Nothobranchius furzeri: one gene and its partner. The protein of the gene in region 1 purifies or fractionates together with the protein of each later gene. This does not show direct contact. Links are inferred from orthologs where the notes say so. Each region holds a gene or a part of one and is shown on either strand. Other genes may lie near its edges. The genes, in order: tdp1 and xrcc1.

Region 1 (4,480 bases):
CAGACCAGCCTGTCTGGCACCAACAAGCATGCCATGCTCTAAATTGCTTAAATCACCTTTCTTTCCCATTCTGACATTTTCACACACACACACACACGCACACACACACACACACACACACACACACACACACACACACACACACACACACACACACACACACACACACACACACACACACACCAATTAAAATAATGCTGATAGCGTGGACTAGAAGCCAGGTGATGGTTTTATTTAAATGATGATCAGGCTGCTGTAAAATGTAATCTCCATCCACATCCAGACAGAATTATCCTCTATTCTTTCTCTAGTTGCTCTGCTCTTGTCTGGGCTGATCAGGTGATGGTGCGCGTGGCGCGCCTAACAGCTGATGCACATTTTACGCATTTGGAGAGGTGGGCTGCAAGCTTTGCTTTTACTGGAAGATGGTCCACTTAACGCACGGGTGTAGACTAAATATTAATGACAAATGAATGAAAATTAAATTGTGAGTTTTTACTTCATATTTTAGAAATAAAAATGACGGGGGAAAACATTTATGACGTCTTTTTAAACTAAATTTTCTAGCGCGACCTGCCTGCTTCACTTAAGTCACTGCTTATTAAGGTCCGTCCAAAATTACCGTGGCCCACCCAAAAATGAAAACCTGGCGCCGCGCCTGTTATAAACCTCTGCAAATTATTGTTCTTCACTTGATCAAACTCAGACTTTGTACAGCTAATGTCAAGATGTAAAATTAGGAATTCAGTCGAGCTCTTCCGTCCCTCCATCTCCTGCTCTCCTTGAACCCGACATCGGCTGTCAGAAGTGGAGGTGAAGAAGGAGATGAGGCAAACAGAGTGAGTGCGACCTAAAGAAACCAGACTGGTGTGGAGGTGAGCAAAACAGAAGGAAAAGTGTGGGTGTTGAATCCCCCACAGATGCGACGCCCATGTGAGCGACCGGTACCGGCTGCTGTCACCTGTTGTGGGCAGCTCTCTGCAGTCTGAGGGTAGGCCCCGCCCACAACGCTGCGGCCGCTGTGGCTCCCAGTGTTTTCTTTACTGTGGGAAACGGGTAATAATGGCTCTTTGATGGGAACAGGTTGCCAATCCCTGGTATAAGATCTGAGCTGGTAAAACAAAAATCCTCATCATCAGGCTTTTTTTAAAGTGGGGGGGACACAGCTGCCAATCATAAAATTTGCCGGGGACATGTCCCCGGCGTCCCCGGTTAAAATGACGCCTATGCTTATTGGTATATATTCTAGAAATATGTAAATATGTTCCTGCGATCTGCGATGGACTGGCACTCTGTCCTGGGTACACCCATCGACATATATACGATGGGTGTACCCCGCCCGAATCGATTGCCCATTGACCGCTGGAGATAGCCACCCCCCACCCCCACCCCCGCGACCCTATGGGCAAGCGGGTTCAGACAATGGATGGATGGCTGTTCCCGCTATTCAAGCGGAACCTTTTCAAACAGATTGAAGTTTCAACCCGGACTCGTGTTTCGTGAGCACCCTCCTCCTGCAGGCATGCTGGATGTAAACAACAGACTTTCTTTTCACAACAGAGTAAAACTGTAGCTGCGCACCTGTCTTGGTAAAGTAAGTGCCGCGGTTCACCGCCACACTTCAGCGGTCGTGTTTAGTTTATTATCTGTTTATTTTATGTATATAACGTGGTATCTGTCGCGGTGTTTTGTAGCTGTGCATGACTGATTTTTAGCTACTTTACAGCAGAAGATTCTGGCTGTTATATTTCTGTTAGAAATCGTTGTCAACTTAGTTCTCTCAATAGTTTTTAAGAAGATAAAATAGTATTATTTCATTAAAGACGCTAGAGGAGGTTTTAAAAACGTTTTTATCTCAGCTTGAACGCCAGCGCTGTGATGCTTCTTGTAAACAGCACAGCTGTCCCATCTTCTATCCCATAATAACTTTAATGCCACATTTTCTCATTGTTTTACATTTTTAACGGGAGCAGGTCCGATAGAGACCCCACAGGATCCTAAAGACTCATTTTTTTCTGCTTTGAGTTGTTTCTGCACGGCTGGGATGGGCTCGTGTTTCTGGCTGTTTGGGTTGTTTACCCTTAAATCACGATTAATCTCAAAGTTGATTCGCTGGTCATTTAGATTCTTCCCAGTATCACTGGAACAGGAGCATCCACACTGTTGGAGACGCAGGTCAGAGGGGTGAAGTTAAAGTATTTGTGTATTTAGCTGAATTTCAAGTCTGCTGAGTAAAGGCCAGCCAGGCTCTGTGGTTCTGTCTACCATTAAAGAAGAATAACTATGTATTTAACAGACGTCATTGGTATTGCACTTTAGCTTTTATATTTTAACAATATTTTTGTTAATGTGTTTTCTGTATTTTGAATTTTCTGTTCTGCATCACGTCAGACAAATCTGAATATAAACCTTTTTTAAAGTGCCGTCTACCAGCATCAACGCCTGTGCTGGATGGCCGAAGTTCCAACATTCTTGAATTAATAACAATAATGATTGATGCTTAATGACCCCCTCCCTGAGGGGCAGTGGACTGCCACTGTGAGGGGAAACTTCAGGTTTTCACGCTCTTGTACGAAGATGCTCTGATCTCCTTTGGCCCGTGGTGAAACGGCTCTTCCCCCCTACCTCCTGGCCACATGCTGCACGCCCAGCCCTAAAGGATCCAGAGTACCGCTTCAATCAGTTCCAGAACCATGGGTTTGGGTTTGTTATACGCCTGGAGGTTTTGCTCTGCTTCTGGCCTCTAGGGCGGCAGACGATCTGAGCTCCAGATTGTCTTTTTGTGACAACATGTGTCTTCATGTGCTCATCATGTTGCTCTCTGCGTCTTCAGGCATGTCTCTGGACAGTCATCATGGGAAGTGGACCATCTCCAGCAGTGATGATGAAGATGAGCTTCTTCCCCCTTCTGGGACTACAGGTGCCAGTTCCCGTCAGACAGCTGAAATCAGCCACAGCTCTCCTCCATCTGCCTCTCCGGTGACGCTGAAGGCAGAAGCAGCCAGGACACCGGTGTCCTCTCGCTCTGTTGGCTCTGAGGCTAGACGAACTGCCACAAAGAACCAGATAAACCCAGTAAGATACAAAACCAGCCCTTCACTGGCTGGGAAGAGAAAGAATGAGGTGTCAGAAGGTACAGGCTGGGCCCTCTCGGACAGCGATGAAGATGATGGAGCTGTGAAACAGAACAATCAGGCTAATCTGCCAAAGCGAGCTCCTCTGAAACCTGAGACTAAAAAGCTAAAAGCAGAGAGCGAGCGTCCTCCAAGTCCTCATGGACGACAGTACTATATAGATGAGTCGGAGGACTTCTTTGAGTCCTGCACTCCTCGTCTTGATGACACTTACAGATTCTACCTCAACAAAGTCACAGGACTGGACCGAGAGTACAACAGCGGAGCTTTGCACATCAGAGGTGAGTTTGGATGGAGGACACCAACCTCTAATGTTCTGTACGTCCTGCAGTGTGTCCTCATGTGTCCCTCTGACACTGACTCAGTGTGAGAAGAAGGTAAAGTTCTCGTTCTCTAGTTTTATGGTGGCTGCTTTCTGTGTGGAGGTCTCACAGGGGACCAGCCCACTCCTCCGATCAGTCTGATGTTCTTTTGTCTCTGCAGATCTTCTCTCCCCGTTGTTTGGAACGCTGAAAGAGTCTGTTCAGGTTGGTTTTATTCTGTTTTCTTTTTAAAATAACTTTAAACAACAACCAGGCTGTTGGCCCGTTCGGTTTGTGTTGTTTTAATGAACTAATGGTGCTCCTCTTTCATTTTTATAGTTCAACTACTGCTTTGATATTGCTTGGATGGTTAAACAGTTTCCTCCAGAGTTTAGGTAAGTCCTGCTTCGTCTTTGCCACCTCCCCGTTCTCGCTGCTCCGCTTCAGATCCTCGTCACACAGTTCTGAAGAACACAAAAGGAAGTCTAGTTGAATGAAATGTGTGTGTGTGTGTGTGTGTTTTTCAGGGATCGCCCGGTTCTGATCATCCATGGAGATAAGAGGGAGGCCAAGGCTCGGCTCCTGCAACAAGCCCAGCCCTTTCCACACGTTCGCTTCTGTCAGGTGCTCACTGAACCAACAATGGAAGCAGCTGTTCAACAGACAGCCCATAATAGTAATGCAGTGTCGAAAAAACCGGAAAACCGATTCTGAATTGATTCTTATAAAAATGTCAAGAATTGATTAGCATCGATTCATAAGTCCAACAATCGTGTTAAAACCTTAATTGTTTAACACAGTTTGCTGTTTTTACGGCTAAAATGGGAAGGAAGGGTCCAGATGGCCTTTTTGAGGTTTAGGTCTGAAAGGGTTAACACAGTTTCCCTCGGTGTTGCACCACATAATTATGGGCATACAACTAACAGTTTACAGCCATACTCTGCAACTTTTCCATATTTTAAATCATTTTCTCGAGCCAATATGTGCTAAAATGACCTTTACAGGGTCAATGAAATGTTACTCAGACCCCACTGCCCCCCCCTG
Region 2 (3,817 bases), on another chromosome or scaffold:
AGGCCCCAGCACAGAACCTTGTGGGACACCATGGGTAAGAGAGGTGGTGGAGGACCTAAACTTGGAGACGGCCACAGAAAAGGAGCGCTCAGAGAGATAAGAGGAGAACCACTCCAGAGCAGATCCTGATAGGCCTACCCAGTCTCTCAGCCTCTCCAGTAGCAGGTGATGGTCAACAGTGTCAAAGGCTGCAGTCAGGTCCAGCAGGACCACAACAGAACAGTCTCCTGCATCACTGTGAGTCAGAAGGTCATTAGAGACCCTAAGAAGAGCTGTTTCAGTAGAATGAGCTCTACGAAAACCTGACTGGAAACTATCATAGATGTTCTGTTCATCAAGAGCAGCTGTGAGTTGTTTAGCCACAACCTTTTCCAAGATCTTGGTGATGAACGGAAATTTAGAGATGTGTCTGAAACGGCTATGGAGAGAGGCGTCAAGACTCGTTTTTTTAAGAAGTGGGTGGATTACAGCATTCTTAAAGTATGCAGGGACCTATCGTTGTGTCCTTGGGCAAGTCACTTAACCCCCCTTGCCTGCTGGTGGGAACCTCACCTCTGTCAGTGCACCCCAGGGCAGCTGTGTGTGTGATTAAGTGAATGACTGATTGTGTTGTAAAGAGCCTTTGGGGGTTCTAGGACTCCATAAGGCACTATATCAAATAAAGGCCATTTACCATATTTTTTTTTTACATAATAATGGAACAGTCCAGGACAAAACATTGTAAATATTTAAGTAAAAGTAAAAAAAAAAAAAAATATATATATATATATATATATATATATATATATATATATATATATTGTGCTCATGAAAAGATCAGTATTAGTGAACATTCAGCATGATCGGCCAGTTTGAAAATTAAAAATCCTACAGTTTTCCTGGTCCATAAACTCACCATCGCTAAGAGCAAATTCACTCTAGCCAAAACAGATGCTCCAAGTGAAAGTTTCTTATTCCAGCATCATAATTTTTAAGTAATTTAGAAATTTAAAGGGATGCTAGACTGTTTTTCTTGCTTTTAGCACCCCCAAGTGTCTGTTATTATCTGTGTTCAAAGCAAAAGTGAAACTTATCTCCTCGCTGTGTGTTTGTCTTTTAAGTTTCTAAAGAGCGGTTCATCACTAAATGAAACAAATCAGCTGTGTTCACGATATACAACATGCAGGAAACATGCTGGAAGCAGACTTCAGCTCCACCATGCTAGCTCCACTCCACAGCAACAGTAGGGACTGGTCCGGCAAGGCAACTCTGAAGTTGCAACTGTGGTATTCTGGTCACAGAGGGCGATGGGGTCTGAGTGACATTTAATAACACTGTAAAGAGTCATTTTAGCACATACTGGCTCAAGAAAATGATTTAAAAATGTGAAAAAGTTCCATAGTATCCATTTAAAGGAGATGTGAATTAGATGGTCTTTCAGATAAATTAGTACCGGTCAAATTTGGAGTAGACGGGGCAGAGCTGTAGATGATTTAGGAACAGGCGCCTGCAGCTTAAAGCAGAATCAATGGATTTTTAACTGAAAGAGAAGAAAAAAAGAAAACTTTATTAAAGTTGACTAAACCAATCCAAACTCATATAAATATGATGACTATATTAAATAGTTCTGATAAAAACAACTTAGTTTAATATTAAATGAGTTTTTAATACATTTTTATTCCTGTGATTTAATTCTTTGTGTTTTTTTTCATTGAGTTGTGTCACTGGCCCAGTTGCTACTCCGTGATTTAGTCTGCTTCAGCTGCCGGAGCGATGTTTTTCTGTTGTCTCTGTGGTAATGTAATCGTTTGGGTGTGTTTATGTGCACATTTGTTTTGTCTCATTAATCCCCAGCTGTGCTTTTGCCAACACCCCCAAGTACAGTCAGGTGAAATCAGCAGGCGGCATCATCGTTCGGAAGGAATGGGTGCTGGACTGTCACAAGAGGAAACAGAAAATTTCATATAAACGGTAAGTTTGGGATAAAATCTTCAATTTTTTTAACTCTAACAAGGTTAAACTACAGCAGAATTTAAAGTCCCGTCCTGCTGAGAGGCCTGAACTCTGCCACACAAGCAGCTGCTTGGATTTCAGCAGCGTTTTTTTAATAAAGGACACCACCAAGCAGATTTAGCATCGAGCATGTGCACACACTATGAACCCATGTATGATTAATACTCTCTTTTAAGCCATGCCTGGGTCTCTGTGCCATACAATCTGTGCTCAGCACTCACATTGATTGAAGCATCCAAATATACTCCCCCCCACAGCAGGGTTGCCCACTTGCTACACAGAACACTGTAACCTTGAGCAGATGATCCCTGCTGTGATCACAAATTCAGCCAACTGAGCTCCAGCAGCTCTCTAACTGTACGCCTCATTACAAGAGGGGGTCTGCAACATCAAGGTCCCCCGTTATCATTCCTGACAAATCTATGTGGACTGAATAATGTAAGGCTGAACGCTCATCCCACACTCTGGAACATCCCAATTAATTGGGAGGGTGCTGGATTGTGAGCTTCTCCTCATCATTAAGGTATACCCTCACACTCCCAACCTCCCCGCCGTTCACTGTAGTCGAACTGGGACATAAATAAAGTATTCCAGTATGTTTCAAAAAAGAAAAAAAAAAGTTTTTGACACAAAGATTTTTTTAAATGTGTCAAACTGCTCATAGATTCCTCCCGTTTGAATTTTAAGATGCGCCCAAACGTGAATCTGTCAACATGCCGTGGTTCTAAAATTGCAACAAAAGCATAAAGTCTGTTCTTAGAATAAAATAGTAGTTTATTCTAATCCACACAAGTGCGCAGAGCTATGAAATAGGTTTTGAGGCTTAACGTAGATGCATCAGAAACCAAAAAGGAGAATTGCATTATTGTAATAATAAAACAAGAAGGCTGAAAAGTTGAGCTTTAGCATCTGAGCTCTGTCATCTAAACTGGCTGGGGAGAGTTCATCAGACTGGATGTCCTTACGCCATTTTTCCTTTATAGGTCTCCTTCTCAGAGAAAACGTGATATTTTTCTTTCAAAATACAGTCAGTTGCTCAGAAGTGAGCATGCGTGCTGAACATGAACATTTTCTTCAGCCCCATCGCCTGCATTAGCCACAGAAAAGAAACAGATAGAAAATCAGTCTGATCAGAAAAAGAAAAAGTCTCCTCGACGCCACAGAGAAAAATTAGCCTTCATGGTCTCGCTCACCTTGGCTTACGACCGCAAAAGGTTGTGATGATTTTGCAGCCAGGAGAGAGCAGAGCACGTTTCAGCTAAAACCCGATATGGGGTTTTTAAGGCCGATACCGATTTTTAAAGATTTTTGTTGCAGGTTGCCGGTATCTAAAGCCGATTATTAAGGCTGATATATACGTTTTAGCAGCACATTGATTGTGAAAGACAACTCACTGTGGGCAGTATAAATTAAAGAAGTCAATAAATCTCTTAATATTTATTGAACTTCAAATATAAAACAAACTCAAAACAACATGTGTTGGGGTCCTTCGGGTCCTTTCTTCAGTCTAGTAGTGGCGGCAGTTGGCCACGCAGGTGCCTGATTATAATTTTTTTAATCGGCTTTTAAAAATATTTTCGGCCGATATAGAAGAAATTGAATATATCTGCCTGATATATCATCCGACCACTAATTATTAGCATTCGCAACTCCACAACATGGCAAAAAGTGTTGAGGCTTGTGTCATTTATGGAGATAAAACCTCAACATTGCATTTTTTGCATTAGAAGAGTGAACAAAAGCAGTAGAAGAGGCTCTGCTGTGAACCAATAATATGCAAGATTTTTGCATATCCATCCATCATCCTCTGCTTATCCGGGGTCTG

The links.
Region 2: the proteins of tdp1 (region 1) and xrcc1 purify together in Homo sapiens (affinity purification with mass spectrometry; 4 studies listed by BioGRID and IntAct, with this or other methods). This does not show direct contact. The link is inferred for Nothobranchius furzeri from reciprocal best matches to the Homo sapiens genes TDP1 and XRCC1.

Annotation. Positions count from the first base shown.
Region 1 is NC_091749.1:23,439,247-23,443,726, forward strand, and holds the start of tdp1 (tyrosyl-DNA phosphodiesterase 1), read left to right. Parts: upstream 1-1,459; 5' UTR 1,460-1,594; intron 1,595-2,833; 5' UTR 2,834-2,835; coding exon 2,836-3,415; intron 3,416-3,617; coding exon 3,618-3,661; intron 3,662-3,775; coding exon 3,776-3,831; intron 3,832-3,963; coding exon 3,964-4,060; intron 4,061-4,480. UniProt on the Homo sapiens protein: DNA repair enzyme that can remove a variety of covalent adducts from DNA through hydrolysis of a 3'-phosphodiester bond, giving rise to DNA with a free 3' phosphate.
Region 2 is NC_091745.1:68,560,385-68,564,201, reverse strand, and holds part of xrcc1 (DNA repair protein XRCC1), read left to right. Parts: intron 1-1,833; coding exon 1,834-1,950; intron 1,951-3,817. UniProt on the Homo sapiens protein: Scaffold protein involved in DNA single-strand break repair by mediating the assembly of DNA break repair protein complexes. Negatively regulates ADP-ribosyltransferase activity of PARP1 during base-excision repair in order to prevent excessive PARP1 activity.